Nothobranchius furzeri: one gene and its partner. The protein of the gene in region 1 purifies or fractionates together with the protein of each later gene. This does not show direct contact. Links are inferred from orthologs where the notes say so. Each region holds a gene or a part of one and is shown on either strand. Other genes may lie near its edges.

What was found.
Region 2: the proteins of ptpn1 (region 1) and abcd3a purify together in Homo sapiens (affinity purification with mass spectrometry; 3 studies listed by BioGRID and IntAct, with this or other methods). This does not show direct contact. The link is inferred for Nothobranchius furzeri from reciprocal best matches to the Homo sapiens genes PTPN1 and ABCD3.

The regions. Positions count from the first base shown.
Region 1 is NC_091755.1:52,048,793-52,053,106, forward strand, and holds the start of ptpn1 (tyrosine-protein phosphatase non-receptor type 1), read left to right. Parts: upstream 1-1,455; 5' UTR 1,456-1,671; coding exon 1,672-1,728; intron 1,729-2,243; coding exon 2,244-2,334; intron 2,335-2,875; coding exon 2,876-2,976; intron 2,977-3,465; coding exon 3,466-3,564; intron 3,565-3,662; coding exon 3,663-3,800; intron 3,801-4,314. UniProt on the Homo sapiens protein: Tyrosine-protein phosphatase which acts as a regulator of endoplasmic reticulum unfolded protein response. Mediates dephosphorylation of EIF2AK3/PERK; inactivating the protein kinase activity of EIF2AK3/PERK.
Region 2 is NC_091747.1:36,306,943-36,311,429, reverse strand, and holds the start of abcd3a (ATP-binding cassette sub-family D member 3a), read left to right. Parts: upstream 1-1,572; 5' UTR 1,573-1,656; coding exon 1,657-1,766; intron 1,767-3,160; coding exon 3,161-3,194; intron 3,195-3,277; coding exon 3,278-3,376; intron 3,377-3,481; coding exon 3,482-3,570; intron 3,571-4,487. UniProt on the Homo sapiens protein: Broad substrate specificity ATP-dependent transporter of the ATP-binding cassette (ABC) family that catalyzes the transport of long-chain fatty acids (LCFA)-CoA, dicarboxylic acids-CoA, long-branched-chain fatty acids-CoA and bile acids from the cytosol to the peroxisome lumen for beta-oxydation.

The DNA of each region.
Region 1 (4,314 bases):
TATCATATAATAGTTGGACACGAACTTTCAAACAAAAATCCAGAATTCACTTGTTCGTAGTAAAATGAATAGCCTTTAGTCTGTGGTTGTTGTTGCTGTTGTAGTATATGTTGTTACATGACTATATGTTGTTACATGACGTTGTTACCTGATGTTCAGACATGATGTTGTTACTTGATTTTGTTACATGATGTTACTTGATGTTGGTACCTGATGTTATTGCATGATGATAGTACATAATGTTGTTACCTGATGTTGTTACAAGATGTTGTATAATGTTGTTACTTAATGTCACCTGATGTTACCTGATGCTGGTACCTGATGATGTTACATGATGTTACGTGATGTTATTTGATGTTGTTACCTGATGATGTTACATTATGTTGTTACCTGATGTTGTTACTTGATGTTGTTACATGATGATGTTACATTATGTTGTTACCTGATGTTGTTACTTGATATTGTTACATGATGATGTTACCTGATGTTGTTACCAGATGTTGTTACATGATGATGTTACATTATGTTGTTACCAGATGTTGTTACATGATGTTATTATTTGATGTTGTTACTTAATGTTGTTACCTGATGTTGTTACCCGATGTTGTTACCGGATGTTGTTATATGGTGTAGTTACTTGATGTTGTTACTTGATGTTATTACCTGATGTTGTTACTCGATGTTGTTACCTGATGCAAAAACAAGGTAAAATAACACTTGCTGTGTTAAAAAGAACAGTAATGCAGTAGAAATGCAGAACAATTTAATAAAACAATGTCAAATGTTATGACATGTTACTCATTTCTATGCACAGTGTAGAAGTAAAATGCTATTTGTGACCAAAGTGCCATTTAAAAAGATGAACTCAAATGTCAACTCACTTGTGCAGTGGAAATATGAACTAGACAAAGACATGGACAGATATGTTTGCCACATCTGAAGGGGATAACCTAATATAAATTAATGGAAAGCTGACATAATTTGCTTCAAAAGTTTGTTTTCCCTGACAAAGTCTCAGTTATGGAAAACTTGAGACACAATTTTAATATTGTGACAGTTTTGGTTATCATTGGTTTTGATTTTATAATTCAGATTGTCATTTTGACAGAAATATTTACACTGACGTTCAAATTACTTTTTAAATGTAATTATATTAAATGTTAAAACAGCTTGCCAAATTCACCGGCAGCCGGGGCGATGACGTACACAGTGCGTGAGTGTGCGTGCGCGCTCCCCAAAGAGCGAGACGCGTTTTTTTCCCAGAAATATGATGCCTCCCGCGCGTCCTCGCCTGTTGGTCGCTGCTGTTTCAGAAATGGTGAGATGACGATTCTGTGTCAACAGACTTACTTTCCAGACTTGAAGAAGTGCTGTGAATCCTACACAGATATCTCACAGCAGCAAATTAAAACAAAACAAAACACATTGTGCTCTTTTTAGCCACCCAAGGACGACAGCTACACCGTGTAGGAGGAGCTAGCGGCGTGTTTCCGTTAAGAGTAGGCCGAGATGGCGATCTAAGCAGCCGCACTGAATGCGAGCTAACAGCGGCCGAAGATTGGGCAGCTACTACCGGAAACCGATTCACTACTAATTCTTTAATTACCGGGAAGCTGTGGTTCTTCGTTTTGGGCTGGGCGTAAAGAAAGAGTGGCAGCTGAACTGGAAGCAATGGAAGCCGAGTTCTTGGAAATCGATGAGAACGAGAGGTGGAGCGCCATTTACCAGGTAGGAACTATCGGCTGATCATCAAGGTGGAGACACGAACCGTAGGTGAAGCTGTCATTTTAGGCCTGCTCACAACGAGTCAGCAGATATATAAGGTATTAATAATAATCAATGTTTTTATTAGTCACCGGGACTTTTCTGGGTGTGTACAGCCTTGTTCTGATGTGTCTGTCCGGGTATAATACCTGCAACACTCGCTAGGACCCAGGAGTGGCCCGGATCTGTTCTGACTTTAATAAACCTTTATCAAGTGTCCATTAAAACGTTAATCACGTTTTAAAATGCTGTTTAATCACTACTCATGAGTAACTACTTTATTATGATAATTTTAAGTGTGTGTACATGTTTACCTGCATTAACAGTGTTAATAGTGTGATGTCTAGACTCTTTTTTTCTTCTGTTTTTCTAAAGAATTAAATTTAGGAAGTAAGGCCTACATGCACTCAGATCCACTTTCACAGTGTGTGAAACCTAAATCTGCTAAAATTTATTTGGTAAATTTTATTTTGTCTCAGGAGATTCGCCAGCAGTCCAGCGAGTGCGCATGCAATGATGCCAAACTGCCTGAAAACAAGACTCGAAACCGTTACAGGGATGTCAGCCCATGTGAGTTACACTTTGATCATCAGCAGACTCGTTTGTTGTTTTCTCTCGGTTATTATAACCATTCTTAAATTCAGGTAGATTGTGTATTTCCTATCATACCCATATAATAATTCAAAGGTGACAGATTGTAAATTGTTAGGATTGTCTCTTTGAAACTAATTTCTAAATTTTAAATAAGAAAACAACAGTAATTATACAAGTTAGAAAATGTAAAAATAGTTACTATCCACAGAACTAAATCCATCACAGTCCAGCAGCTGAGCTTTGCTGGTTTCCTCTTTTTCACACTGAATAAGCTATGCAAATTGTGCAGCTTGGGTTGCAAATACTTAGTTTTTATTATTCACATCTAACAAGATGTGAAAATGAGGAACCTGAAACTTTTGCCCACATTTACATCTCATATGAAGGATAGGTGGTTACCTCTGTTGTTAGTTTGCTCAATGACTCTTTTCTCATCAGTGTTGCGATGGTAGGGCTGTTCCTCCCCTTCTAAACAACAACAAGACATTTTTATCTGTCTTTTGTCCCCGCTCCTCAGTTGACCACAGCAGAATACACCTGCAGCTGGGTTCCAACGACTACATCAATGCCAGCCTGATAACTGTTGAAGAGGCTCAGAGAAATTATATTCTTACTCAGGTAAGCATCCTGAAGATTCACTGTCCTCTGTATGATTTTACATACAGACACACATCTACTGTATGTAACACGTCTTGGAGTTATGATGTCAACAAATGATTTGGAAAATGGAAGAATACCACAGTGAGAGCATATCCATGGGATTGATCAGTGAGGGAAAAACAGCAAATAGAAAAGCAAGAATATTAAGAGGAGTATATATCAGGCTTTCTATTTGAAAATGGTGGAAATGGGCCATCACTGCTTGTAGTTAAAATGCTGGATGTGGACTAAACTGTCACAACTGCACGTGTCACAAAATCAGAGGCAGTGGCTCGGGTCCAGCTGGAGCCGTGGTTCTGTATGTCTGTATCACAGTACGCTGGTAAAAACCTGGAGATTAGAACGTGGCTGGATCTGTTATTTATTCATCCCGTGCTAATATTGTTATCTAGTGATGCGAAGAAGAAAGTGTGATGTCTTTAAAGGAGTGGTTTATTCCCTGTTTAGGGACCCCTGCCGAGTACGTGTGGCCATTTCTGGGAGATGGTCTGGGAGCAGAGGACCCACGGTGTGGTGATGCTAAACCGGGTCATAGAGAAAGGATCTGTAAGCAGTCGTCTGTCCTTACCGAGACCTTTTAATGTGTCCATTACTCAGGAGTCACGCTACTCTTTTGTTTTCACATGACCTTTGTTTGGTTTTAGATTAAATGTGCTCAATACTGGCCGCAAAGAGAGGAGAAGGACGCCATCTTTGAAGACACCAACTTCAAGGTGACTCTCGTCTCGGAGGACATCAAATCTTACTACACAGTCCGACAGCTGGAGCTGGAAAACCTGTTGGTAAGTCCTCTCTGTTGAGCTGTCTGCCTGAGATAAGAGGTTATTTGACGCTGAGAGCCCGTGGGTCCTGAACACCTTCTGCCACTCGTGATTTAGTCATGAAGACAGAGAAAATATACACGGTGTCTTGTGCTTTAGAGCAAATTAGGAAGGATAAAAGCTAAAGAAGAATTTAACTATTACATCCACAATTTTTACAGAGCTAAATAGTTGTAACTCGTATTTTCAGTTTGGCAGGAATGTCAGGAGCTGGTCCTACGTCTCATCACTTCCTGGTTTTGATCTATAATTTTGCTGCTGAAGTTTGTGGAGCATGAACTGATTTGTTGACAGCACTGGACCTTTCTGAAAATCTGTGTTTAGTTGGGCTTTTCTAGCTGCTGAGGGGATTTGATGCTAACCTATAAAAGGAAGTTTTTTTCCCTAGTTTTTGCTTTAATGCTGATCTGAGCTGAAACATCAAGTGGAAGTTATTTTCATCTCGACTTGGCTTTGGTTTCCATCTGTGGTGCTG
Region 2 (4,487 bases), on another chromosome or scaffold:
AACAAAATATCATAAAACAAAGGAAAGATTATTTAAATTGTTAAATGTAATATACAGATGAAGAAAACATAAAAGATTTGCATTACAGCAGAATTAAATAAAAGGTCGAAGCCATAAAAAAATTAAATCGGAGAGGGGCATAATATGTATGAAGGAAACAAAGGTTTGAGTAAAAGCATATTTAAATACAAGGGTCTTCAACTGCTTTTAAACCCTTCCACTGTCCTATCAGGTGACCCCTCCAGGACAGGGGGTGGTTAAAGATGGTTGATAGTTTATCCCTTGGCAAGGGTGAAGTGGCGCTCTCCTAAAAAATATAGAAAATAAAAAAGCACCTGAAGCCCATCTGACATCATTAACAATGTGGGGGTGGGGTGGGTTAAAGGTGTCCAGACTGTCAATACATTGTAAGGAAGTTCATTCCAAAGTTGGGGTGAAATATCCTGAAAAGAGCATTCACTTTGACTTTTTTTTTTTATCAGTCTTTGGAACTTCTAGAAGGTTCTGGTTTTTGGACCTGAGGGTTTGGTTGGAGCATAAGGCTTTAGCAGTTGAGTTGGGAGAAGCTTGACCACGTAGAGCCCTGAAAGTTATAGTCAGGATTCTCAAATTAATTTTAAAGTTAATGGGTAACCAGTACAGAGACATCAGAATAGGAGTGATGTCAATTCAATTCAGTTTATTTATAAAGCACCAAATCACGACAAGAGTTGTCTCAAGGCACTTCACACAGTAAATAATTCGATACAGTTCAGTTCATTAAGCCAATTAGTAAAAAGTTTCCTATAAAAGGAACCCAGGTTGCATCGAGTCACTGACTAGTGTCAGAGTCAGAGCAATCATCATACTAAGCAAGCATGCAGCAACAGTGGAGAGAAAAACTCACTTTCGCATCATGGGTCCCTGGAAGAACGAAAAAATGAATACAAGTGAACGGGGCTAAAAACGCTATTTTTCTAATCCACTTTGCCTTACGCCCTGATCACAATGTTGTACTGCAATTTAAATGAAAAGTAATGATGGGTGTTTTGACCATGCCAGTCACGTACTTTGAGATTTGTTAGCTTGTAAAAGTTTGTAATTAGCATGACTACAAACTAGAAATCGGCACGTGGCATATAATCTCTTCTCCCCTAGCGTAGCTGCTATTTACCAAATGACCAGATTTACGGTGGTTCTTTCCTCCTGTGGGAAGTTTGCTGAACTTACAGCCTTTTCTCCGTGTCTGGTTCCATGACGTCACTTTCATGAAACACAATTGTAATCCTGGACTTATTTTTGCACAAAACCTAAAATATTGTTGTTGTTTTTTGTACATTGTATAAAAATATCTTGGGAGCCAAAAGAGTGGTCTGTTTGTAGGCCGAGCCAAATAACACAGAGCTAGAAATCTCATCACCAGCGACGGGGGCTGGCTGCACGTGAAAGGTGACTGCTCAATAACTTTTTCTACAGTCGCTGGTAACAAGTGTAGCCTACTTTTCGTGTGAGACTCGCACATTTTTGTCACACCTGGCGTTCCATAGAATAGTTGTTCCCATGTCTGTGGTTTCTACAGCGTCTGCGCGGACGCTCGTCTGAGCATGCGCAGCTCACATAAGGAAATGAGTGTCAGTGGTCTGTGAATCGAAGTAAACTGACCGTTGAGCCAGAAACATGGCGGCTTTCAGTAAATATGTAACAGCTAAAAACTCCTGTGTAGCTGGAGGAATTCTGTTTGTCATTTACTTGTTGAAGCAACGAAGCCGGACGCCTAAACAGTACAGGTGAGTGTTTATTGGAGCCGGGCCCGACAGGTGACCCGCTGGCAGACGTCATGGATCAGTTAGAGCTTTTACTCAATTACCTGATCGGTTATGTTGACAGTCAGTCACCATCTTTATGTCATTGACTCATACCGGCAGCTTTAATCGCTAAATCATTTGTGTGAGTGGAGCTAAACCTTCAGGGGTTTTAAAGTCCCTTCATGTCGGGTCTCAGCTGTTAGACTTCGCTAAGAACTGAGCTGTTTCCTCTAAAAGCAATACAACCAGATGTTCATTAGTCTTCCACTGGTGTTATATTGAGATGTGTGCACCGTCAGAAACGGTCCCGCCTGCCAGCCCGGCTGATGTCCGTCACAGAAGAATAAAGTTGTCAGGAGGTGAGTGACCCCGTTCAGTGGGTCAGCAGCGTGTCTCACCGTGCAGCTGAGCGCTTAACAGTGACTTTGTTGCTCTTGTTCAGTTTCCAGGATGACAAAATGGAGATAAAATGAGCCAACGCTTTTATTTTTACAAGTTTCTTAAACCAGCGTTAGGGGTAAGGTGGAGGAGCCAAGGACACCACAGACATGCCTTTGGGGACACATCTGGGTGTAACTGGCTGCTGCCCGAGGACCTTTAGGTTTCCACTGAGGTGCCTGTTCAAAACTCACCATTTCACAACAACCAGCTCACTACTGCTGCTTTATGTGTAGACAAAGGTAAAGTGTGTGTGTTCGTTCTTCTGGAGCACACCTCCATTCACACACACATTTACCACCTTAGCTGGATTTTTTCTTTGCGCTGCGTGCAACTCTGTTGATGCTCAGGTAAAGGCAGGCCTACGGTTACGGGGTCATGACCTTTAGCAGGATACTGAAAGGTCACCACGTCAAGGCACCTGGGGGAAAATTTTTAACTAGAAAATAACCCCTCATGCACGCTGCGTGTGTGTGTTGTGTTTGTCATGTCCATGCTGACCCACACACAGGTCCAGGTCAGATAAACCTGCTTGGCTGTTCCAGACTGCACATACTTGTTTTTAGTTCAGGTGGAGCTGTGTGGATCATGGGGACTAGAACACAAACCAGTGATCAAATTTGTGGTTCTGGTCTGGAAGAGGACCAGCAGCAGTGGCTGCTGGGTTTCTGGAGGCACTAATGGGTCAGTGGCGAACATCTCAGGTTGTCAAATCTCAAGAACTGAGAATTTTCTTCACCCCTTAGGCTGCATTATTTAAAAAACGGCTTTTTCCCACACAGACCTGGTTGTGGAGTTAATTTGCTCAGACTTTTGCTCTACCAAACATGGTTATTGTGGAGAATGTAACAGGCTTAAACCGGGTCATGCTGTGTAAGCAAACCTTTACCAGCTCTAATCTTCTATTCAGGCCAACTCTCTGTATTTTTTTCTTTCAGTGCAAAAGGATCTTCACAGCTTTTAAACACAGAGGTGAGTTCAGCCCGTTTGAACTTAACTGTTTCTACTAAATCAGTCTGAACCCACTAAAGAGGACTTGCTTCTGTCTTCTGTAGAAAGATGTCAAAAAAGACAAGACAGCAGTGGACAAGGTTTTCTTCCTGCGCATTCTCCGGATCCTGAACATCATGGTCCCGAGGGTGTTCTGCATGGAGGTGAGTTTATGTGCCAATTGGACCTTAGAGCAAAGGTCACCATCAGTCAGGTGTCTTATCAGAGTGGTTGGAGCAATGCAGTGTGATAATCTGTTCTATCTTCAGACAGCCTACTTGATCCTCATTGCCTCCATGTTGGTGGCCAGGACCTACTGTGATGTGTGGATGATCCAGAATGGCACCATGATTGAAAGGTCAGGAGTTAAAGTTGTTAATAAGTGCGCACACACACAGCAGACTCACCGCTCAGCAGAATGAGCAAACTGCAGCAGGCTGGGGGGTTTTCTCTCCACCTTGATCACTAGAAGAAAAAGCGGAGAACGTTTTTTTTTTTAAGGAGGCGTGCGGCTCAGAGCCGGGTTGTTTCTTATCAGATCGCGAGTGGCCGAGCCAGCTGCAGGTGCGGCCGAGACTCGGCTGCGGTCTAGTGTAGTGCGGCCTGTGGGTGCAGGTCAGGTGTTTGCACCCTGCAGCTCTTAGCCCTCAACTGTGACTGACTAAACCAACGTAGAGCAGTTTTAACCTGAAGAGGGAGAAATAATTACAGTTTTGGACTGAATTTTCAAATGTTAAATAAGATGCACTAAAATGCTAAAGTAATGGCTACACACCTCTACAGCACTGTTAGACGCTTATCTATGCAGGTTATCGGCAAAAAAACGGATCTAGGTTTACTCATTCTTAAATGCTGCAGGACTCTGGAAACCCATTATTAAACAGGACATGAACCATTCTCTCCAACAAATAAGATCACTTCCACTCTAGAAGTAGAAGAAAAGTTAGAAGTAAAACTTTAGATTCAGTTCTGGATCTTACAGATTAAGTGAAAGCTGAACCTGGTTTAAGTACACTAGCATGCTCTTGTGTACTTGAGGTGTAGGTTCTTGGCAAGTACAGCAGAAAGTCCGTTCTACAGAGTACGGGAGGTCGAGGACGGCATTTGGAAAGAACCATACATCGTCATGGCAACAATCGCTGCTCGTTGTTACGGCAAAAAAAATGACCTGACATAAATTAAGTCTAATTTGTTCCTTAAATAACAGTAAATTCATATTACTTGTAAAATATTTGGTCCACTTTTGATCAAAATTAATAAAATACCAGAATTTTT